Linked DNA regions of Danio rerio. The protein of the gene in region 1 purifies or fractionates together with the protein of each later gene. This does not show direct contact. Links are inferred from orthologs where the notes say so. Each region holds a gene or a part of one and is shown in the gene's direction. Other genes may lie near its edges.

What was found.
Region 2: the proteins of tnpo1 (region 1) and nup153 purify together in Homo sapiens (co-immunoprecipitation; 3 studies listed by BioGRID and IntAct, with this or other methods). This does not show direct contact. The link is inferred for Danio rerio from reciprocal best matches to the Homo sapiens genes TNPO1 and NUP153.

Annotation. Positions count from the first base shown.
Region 1 is NC_133180.1:35,850,247-35,854,077, reverse strand, and holds part of tnpo1 (transportin-1), read left to right. Parts: intron 1-1,955; coding exon 1,956-2,037; intron 2,038-2,265; coding exon 2,266-2,388; intron 2,389-3,831. UniProt on the Homo sapiens protein: Functions in nuclear protein import as nuclear transport receptor. Serves as receptor for nuclear localization signals (NLS) in cargo substrates.
Region 2 is NC_133194.1:48,917,051-48,920,881, reverse strand, and holds part of nup153 (nuclear pore complex protein Nup153), read left to right. Parts: intron 1-3,206; coding exon 3,207-3,551; intron 3,552-3,831. UniProt on the Homo sapiens protein: Component of the nuclear pore complex (NPC), a complex required for the trafficking across the nuclear envelope. Functions as a scaffolding element in the nuclear phase of the NPC essential for normal nucleocytoplasmic transport of proteins and mRNAs.

The DNA of each region.
Region 1 (3,831 bases):
GTTTTGTGCAGTAGTAATAACTGTCCATTTGCTGTGTCCCAAACTGAAGGCCTCATACTTAAATATATTTTATATATCCCTTTTAAAAATATTTGAAAGGGATAAAGGTTGTAAGGCACCAAAAAACTGGAAAAAACAACTTGCACTCCTATCCATGAGAGTCAGAAATTAAACAAAAATTCAATGGAGTAGAAAGTATATACTTCTTAATCTTGTAATGAAGTGGTCGGTTTTGAGCACTTTGGTTTGGAACAACACTTCAATATGGCGACACATGACTGTTCACATTCTAGCAGTGTCCTTTGGGGGCGATTTTTATCCCTTGTTGTGGCAAGCAGCAAAATTTTTGATTTGTTTTATAACACACGCCAAACAAATTTGTGCAGCTACTGTATTGGAATGCCATTGTGGCGCCACCTTCTGTATTGGAGTGCCCCATGGATAATTTATAATGTTAATGTTTATTATCAACTTCATATTATCTTTTTTTTTCATTAGATTTCATTATAGATCTCCACTATTGGTATATTCTGACATCCCTAATTTCGAGTAATATATTTTCCCAAGTAGGCATGGGACGATAACCATTTTTAAGGCATACCGTGATTTAGAAAAGTCAAGGTTTTAAAACTGGCAACATTTTTACCAAAGATCCCGTTTTAAATTGTAAAGAAATCAGTGTTTTGGAAACTAATGAAGACAGCAGAATTAAGGATTTATTTGAATAATTTAGCCTGACATGTTTACTGCCCCAAAATATTTCAAATGTTTCTCAAAATAAAATATACTGTGTATATTTTTTGTTCAAAGGGGAAAAAAGCTGTTGTTTTTTACCCAGACATTTAAAGAGAATGTATTTTAGAGCAGTATTCACAATACCATGAAACTGTGATAATTTTATCCAAAGTTATCATCCCGTCAGAATCTTATATAAGCCCAATTCTATTCCCAAGCAATTGACCTTTCACCAAAAGTAAATTGACAGGTGATCTGACCAGCCACATTGCCTACAAACCCCACAAATCTTGTCATCTCAATGACTGTTTGTAATCCAGTAAGCTCTAAAAATGTAAATTATCTTTGTTTGTCTTGGAAAATGCCTGTTTTTTTTTTTTAGACGGGTGATAATAATAATATTAACAATAATCCGTACATTTATATAGCGCTTTTCTAGACACTCAAAGCACTTTACACATTTTTTTGGGAGCGAATCTCCTCATCCACCACCAGTGTGCAGCATCCACCTGGATGACGTGATGGCAGCCATAATGTGCCAGACCACACACCACAGACCAGCTGATCGGTTAAGAGGAGACAGTGTGATGAAGCCACTTTTGGTATAGGGAGGAGGCCATGATAGACAGAGGCCAGTGGGCATATTTGGTCAGGACGCCAGGATTAAACCACTACTTATTTTTGAAGGACATACTGGGATTTTTAACAAGTTAGAACCTCGAAAGACATCGCTCACTGAACAGAATAGAGTCCCTGTCACTATATTGGGGCATTAGGACCCACACGGACCACAGGTTGGGCGCCACCTGCTGGTCTTACCAACACCACTTCCAGCAGCAACCCAGCTTTCCCATGTGGTCTCCCATCCAGGTACTGACCGGGCGCAGCCCTGCTTAGCTTCAGTGAGTGACCATATGAGAGTTGCAGAGAGCTAGCTGCCCGCTCTCTGATGCTGTCTCTTATCTCAGCTTTGCTCTTTTTAATTGCCTAGCTTTACTTTCTCATACTGAGTATGTAATTCAAATGCATGTGGACATGTATTTGCTGACCATTCTGTTTGAAATCAACATACATATTTTCCAGACATTATTCATTATTTCAACAGAGAGTGCACAAGTTGACAACGGCACAGCGAGTGAATATAGCTTGACGGACATAAAAAGGGTCAGTTGTTCTGACTGCATACTGTGTGTGCGTTCTGTGTTTGTTGTCTGTTGTAGGTCTCATGCCATTGCCTGTGTGAACCAGTTCATCATCAGCAGAACGCAAGCCCTAATGCTGCATATAGACCCCTTCATTGAGGTACAACAACCAAAAACTGACAACCTTTAAACATGCTTTGCTCGCTTGATGTTAAGTGCATTGTATAAGCCACAAAAGAATATAAGTCACATTTCTGATAAAAACGGGACTTATATTCTAATAAAAATAAGATGCTCACAATATTCTCTGATGCTAGTTTTGTTTGAGGAAGTTGTGGAGTTCTAAAAATAGAAAATGCATTTTTATGTGTTCATTGTTGTGCTACAGAACCTGTTTGCACTGGCGGGGGATGAGGAGCCAGAAGTGAGGAAGAATGTGTGCAGAGCTTTAGTCATGCTTTTGGAAGTGCGACTAGACCGTCTCCTTCCACATATGCACAACATCATTGAGGTGAGATCCCGCCTCCTGCAACCCTCATAAAAACCCTAATATAACTCTCTGACATGAACGCTGAAAGCGAGAACCTTGACCTCTGGAGGAGTGAAATACTGCTGTAGTTGATCATTTATAACAGTCATAAAAATTTTCTGGTAAATTTTGCCAACAAATCTCACAGGTAAAATAAATCAACAGTGGCCTCTTGTGGACTTTCTTCAACTATATTTTTGTGAACTAGTTTGGCAAAATGAAATTAGTGAGCCTTTTTTAGCCAACACTGTTAAATTCATCAAAGGTTGCAGCTGTTAAGCTTTTAACTATGTCAGAGATCTCATGTAACCCCTATTTTAATTTCTCTACATTGACTCACTGTAAAGTTGTAATTAATAAAAAAAAATGATTTAGTCTAAATGAATATATACAGAGATTCATCATCCATGTAATTCGAACAATCCTCAAATCAGTTCATGGTCATTGTTTTACATTCCAGATTAAAGATAAAAAGAGGCTGTGCTCTTGAGGTAGTTACTGAGGAAACGGAGATCTGCAGACTCTGTGGACATTTTAAAAAAGCAGCTGAAAACTCACTTGTTCAAACTTGCTTATGCCTAAGATAATGTTTTTTTTTTTATAATTGTGAGTGTGTTTTTTAGGTCTTCATTTTACAATTTGGTTGTAAATTTCATTTATTTACTTATTTAACCAGGAATGTCCCATTGAGATGTAATATCTCTTCTGCCAGGCAGCATTAGACAGAGATACAAAGAAATACTTATCACAACACGTACAGTGCATCCAGAAAGTATTCATAGCGCTTCACTTTTTTCACTTTTTCACTGCTTTTTCATTTTTTTATGTTACAGCCTTATTCCAAAATGGGTTAAATTCATTTATTTACTCTTAATTCTGCACACAATACCTCGTAATGACAATGTGAAAAAAACTTTGTTTAAATTGTTGCAAATTTATTAAAAATAAAAAAACTGAAAAATCCCATGTACAATGTACATAGGTATTCACAGCCTTTGTCGTGAAGCTTTAAATTGAGATCAAGAACATTCTATTTTCACTGATAATTCTTGAGATAATTCAGCAGCTTAATTGGAGTTTACCTGTAGTAAATTCAGTTGATTGGACATGATTTGAAATGGCATACACCTGTCTATATAAGGTCCCAGGGTTGACAGTGCATGTCAAAGCACAAACCAAGCATGAAGACAAAGGAATTGTCTGTAGACCTCTGAGACAGGATTGTCTTGAGGCACAAGGCTGGGGAAGGTTACAGAAAAATTTCCAATGAGCACAGTGGCCTCCATCATCCGTAAGTGGAAGATGTTTGGAATCACTAGAACTCTTCCTATAGCTGGCCAGCCATTTAAGCTGAGTGATCTGGGGTGAATGGTCTTAGTCAGGGAGGTGATCAATAACTTGATGGTCACTCTGTCTGAGCTCCAG
Region 2 (3,831 bases), on another chromosome or scaffold:
AAGCTGTTTCTTCTGTGAAAGGTGTTCTGCTTAATCTGATCAATAAGCTCGATCATCAACATATTCAGAATGAAATTTATCTGGTATTACTATGGAAATAAAGGGCATAATATTTCCCAGTTCCTCCAGGACTTTACAAGTCCAATAGTTCTTGAGATTTTAAGTATAATTATTATAAAACAAGATGTATATTTTCACAGCGAGATGCAATAATTGATACAAATGATGCCACAAGTTTTAAGTAAGGCCATTTTAGGCTGCATATGTTTTTTAGTTCCTTTACACACTTGAGGCATTCAGCCAATTACAGAACACTTAATGGAAGGCTGACGAATCAGAACACTGCACACGTTTCAGAATGATGAGCTTTGTAACATTGTTTCAGAAAGGCAGAGCAGAGATGAGAAATGGTAATGTACAGTATGTGGGGAATTTATTTATTTGTTTACATTATATGCATTGCATTACACCAAATACACAAAATAATGTTCATTTAGCAACATCATATGACTCCTTTAAAGGGATAGTTCTCCCAAAAAATGATTTATTCATCTTTCAATTGTTCATAACCCATTTAATTTTCGTTCAGTTGAACAATATATTTTGAAAATGTGGCATCCATTGACATTGTCATTGTTTTCTACTATTTAAGTCAACGGGTGGCAGCAACTATTATTTTAAAAAATATATAAGCTGCGTCCCAAATGCGCTATTCTACGCCATTTTGTAGTATAAATAGTGTAAGTAGTGTGTTCACACTGAAAACTCTAAAAATAATGAGCGCTTTAATAACCTGGATGATGCACTCATTCAGCCGCTAAAATGAAGTGTGTAATGATGGACACTTCACGGACTCAACGACCGCAGGTTTACCAACGTAGCAGAAGGGACGGAGCTATCAGGCACACATGTTGGATAACTTTATTTATTTTGGATGGTGAAAGCAAAATTCTCCTACAAAAGTGATTATAGCGCCTCCCGATGGTGAATGGGGTTATACTCACGGCAGGTATTATTTGATAATTCGGTCGTTTATTTCACTGATTTGGCAACCGTCAAACGTCATCAGGAAAACGGTTTGAATTTCCGCTTAGTAAAAAAACATAAGTGTGCCATTTGGGACGACACAACATACATGTACTATCCTGTTGAGTGTGTAAGTGCATAAGTACATAGTGTATAGTGTGCCATTTGGAAAGCAGCTATAGTTTTGTGTTCAACACAAGAAAAACTTACAATGATGCAGCATTCTTAATTTTTAGGTAAACTATCCCTTTAAGTATGTTAAGTGCTTTTGAAATGTGCATTTTTTAAAAATTTGATGGTTCATGTAATCAAGGACTAAGACACGTCACTCTGGTCAATATGGTGAATGAAGCCCGCTCTCTAGTACAGGAGCCAATCATTGATCAATATATAGTGATTAAAGCCAAGTAGGTATCGCTGCAGCCAGGAGACCTGCATGTGGGAGGGATTACACCGCAAGTAGGTTGGTTGACCTCCAAGTGGGAGTGACTCAAACCGCAAGGAGGTTGGGTTTATCAGGTTACTGTGAGGTTGGGTTTAGGGTTGGGTTTAGGTGTAGACGTTAATAAAACACAACAGGTTACTGTGAGGTTGGGGTTAGGGTTAGGTGTACAAATTCATAAAGCACAATATTGAACTCTAAATACGACTAAATAAGGTTTGCCCAGCCCACTTGGAGCTCCAAGACCCACCCACTTGGAGCTGGCTCCGGCCTCCGTTTATACCCTTCTCAATAAAGCCGGCCTTCTAGTACAGGAGCCAATCATTGATCACTATATGGTGAACAAAGGCCGCCTTTTAGTACAGGAGCCAATCATCGATCACTATAGACTGATACTACTCTGGGGGAAGGGCTCAGATTAGATGTGAGTTTCTGGAGATTTTGTGTAATTTGGACGTTTAGAAATTAAACTAAAAAGACTGTTGTTGTTTAATATTATTGGCAATTCCTAATATGAAATTCAATCATAAGCTTGGCAAGCAGTTTTGGAGAATTTGATGTTTCCCCATTCAGACAGAGTGCCCGAGCATACTTGCCTGAGAGTTGTTCCAAAGATGGCCGCCAAGTGAAATAACTTGCCTTAAAGCAGGGGTGTCCAAACTCGGTCCTGGAGGGCCGGTTTCCTGGAGAGTTTATCTCCAACTTGCTTCAACACACCTGCCAGGAAGTTTCTAGTATATCTAGTGAGAGCTTAATTAGCTGGTTCAGGTGTGTTTGATTAGAGTTAGACACTCTCATGGGCTGCGTCCGAAACCGCCTACTACTCAGTAGGTACTGCATTTGAATTTAAACGTACTACTCGGCCGTTAATAAAGTACGCTCTATACAGTATGAATGTGAAAAGTATGAATGGAATTCGCACGTACTACATCCGCCATTTTGACAGTCACGTGACGTACCTGCATAATTTGCGTCGCTTTACTCCTATTCATAAATTCGCTCGCGGGGCATCATGGGATAGCGCAGCATGCATGAAATGCACACTCCAGAATCTCGTCGGAAGTAGTAAGTCATCCGGGTACTTCTCACATACTGTTTTTCGAATTCTGTGAATCCGGACATACTACTCAGCTCATATACTGATTTTAGAGAACTATATAGTATGGAAGTATGCGGTTTCAGACGCAGCCATGGACATCAGCCCACCAGGACCAAGTTTGGACACCCCTGCATTTAAGGGACTTTAACTTAATCTCGACTGAAATAAACAGAGGGTGGGATAGTAGCTCCTCCTCCTTTTTTAAAAACAGCCAATAGCATTTTGATTTCATCACAGCTCTCAGTAAGAGTCATTGAATGGAAAACATGAGAAGCGTGTTGAAGGGGGCGGAGCATGTCAGATTCTAGAGCGCATTTAATCGGTCATTATTTGATAAGAAACTGAATTATGACATGACTTTAGGTGGAAGTGACAAACTGCAAGCTTTGGATGTTTATATCAGTTTTAGACTTTCTAAACGCAAATTTTGTTTTGGAACACACCAGCTAATAGATATACTTACAACTGACAGACTGAAGCATCTAAAATTTATTTTAATTTCATGAAACCCTTATGGTTGTAGCTGAAATGTCCTCATTGGTTGTTCTTCAGTTATTCTCCGCTGTAGATAAAGACTGTAGTTATTGTACCATGTTTGTGTAGCACCACAGTTTGACTCTCCATCTATGTGCTTTCCAGAAACTTCTGCTCCAAAGCCCTCTTTTGGCTTCATGGCCAACTCCACCTCCAGCACCCCAGCCTCCTCCAGCTCCACCCCCAGCCTTTTCGGCACTCCCACCACCTCTTCCCTGGCTCCCACGCCTGCTCCCACTAGCACCTTTGTGTTTGGCCAGAATTCCTCCTCTGAACTAAATGTGGGAAAGACTTTCGTGTTCGGACAGCAGCAGCAGGACAGTCAGCCGGCTCCTCCTGCGGCCCCTTCTGCTGCCCCAGCACAGCCTTTCCAGTTTGGCTCGGGCTCAAACTCATCCACCCCTTCTTTCACATTTGGTGCTGCTGCGTCCTCCACCCCTGCCTCTGCTGGTTAGTTTACCACCAAATATCCTGTTGTTGTCTTGTGTGCTTCTTACCAAAGCTGGGTAGTAGCATATATTATGTGTAATCTGGATTTCTTCCAAAAATCAAGTACTTCTAATCAGGATGCGAATTAAAGGGGGATTTGGGGGGGGTCTGACTCCCTTAATTAATGATTAACCCCACCCTGAAGGACATCAAACCAAGATGTTTGGGGGTCTGCCCTTTAATAGTTAAGAAATGGCTTGCTCTGATCTGGATCTTAAATAATATTAATAATTAAAATATA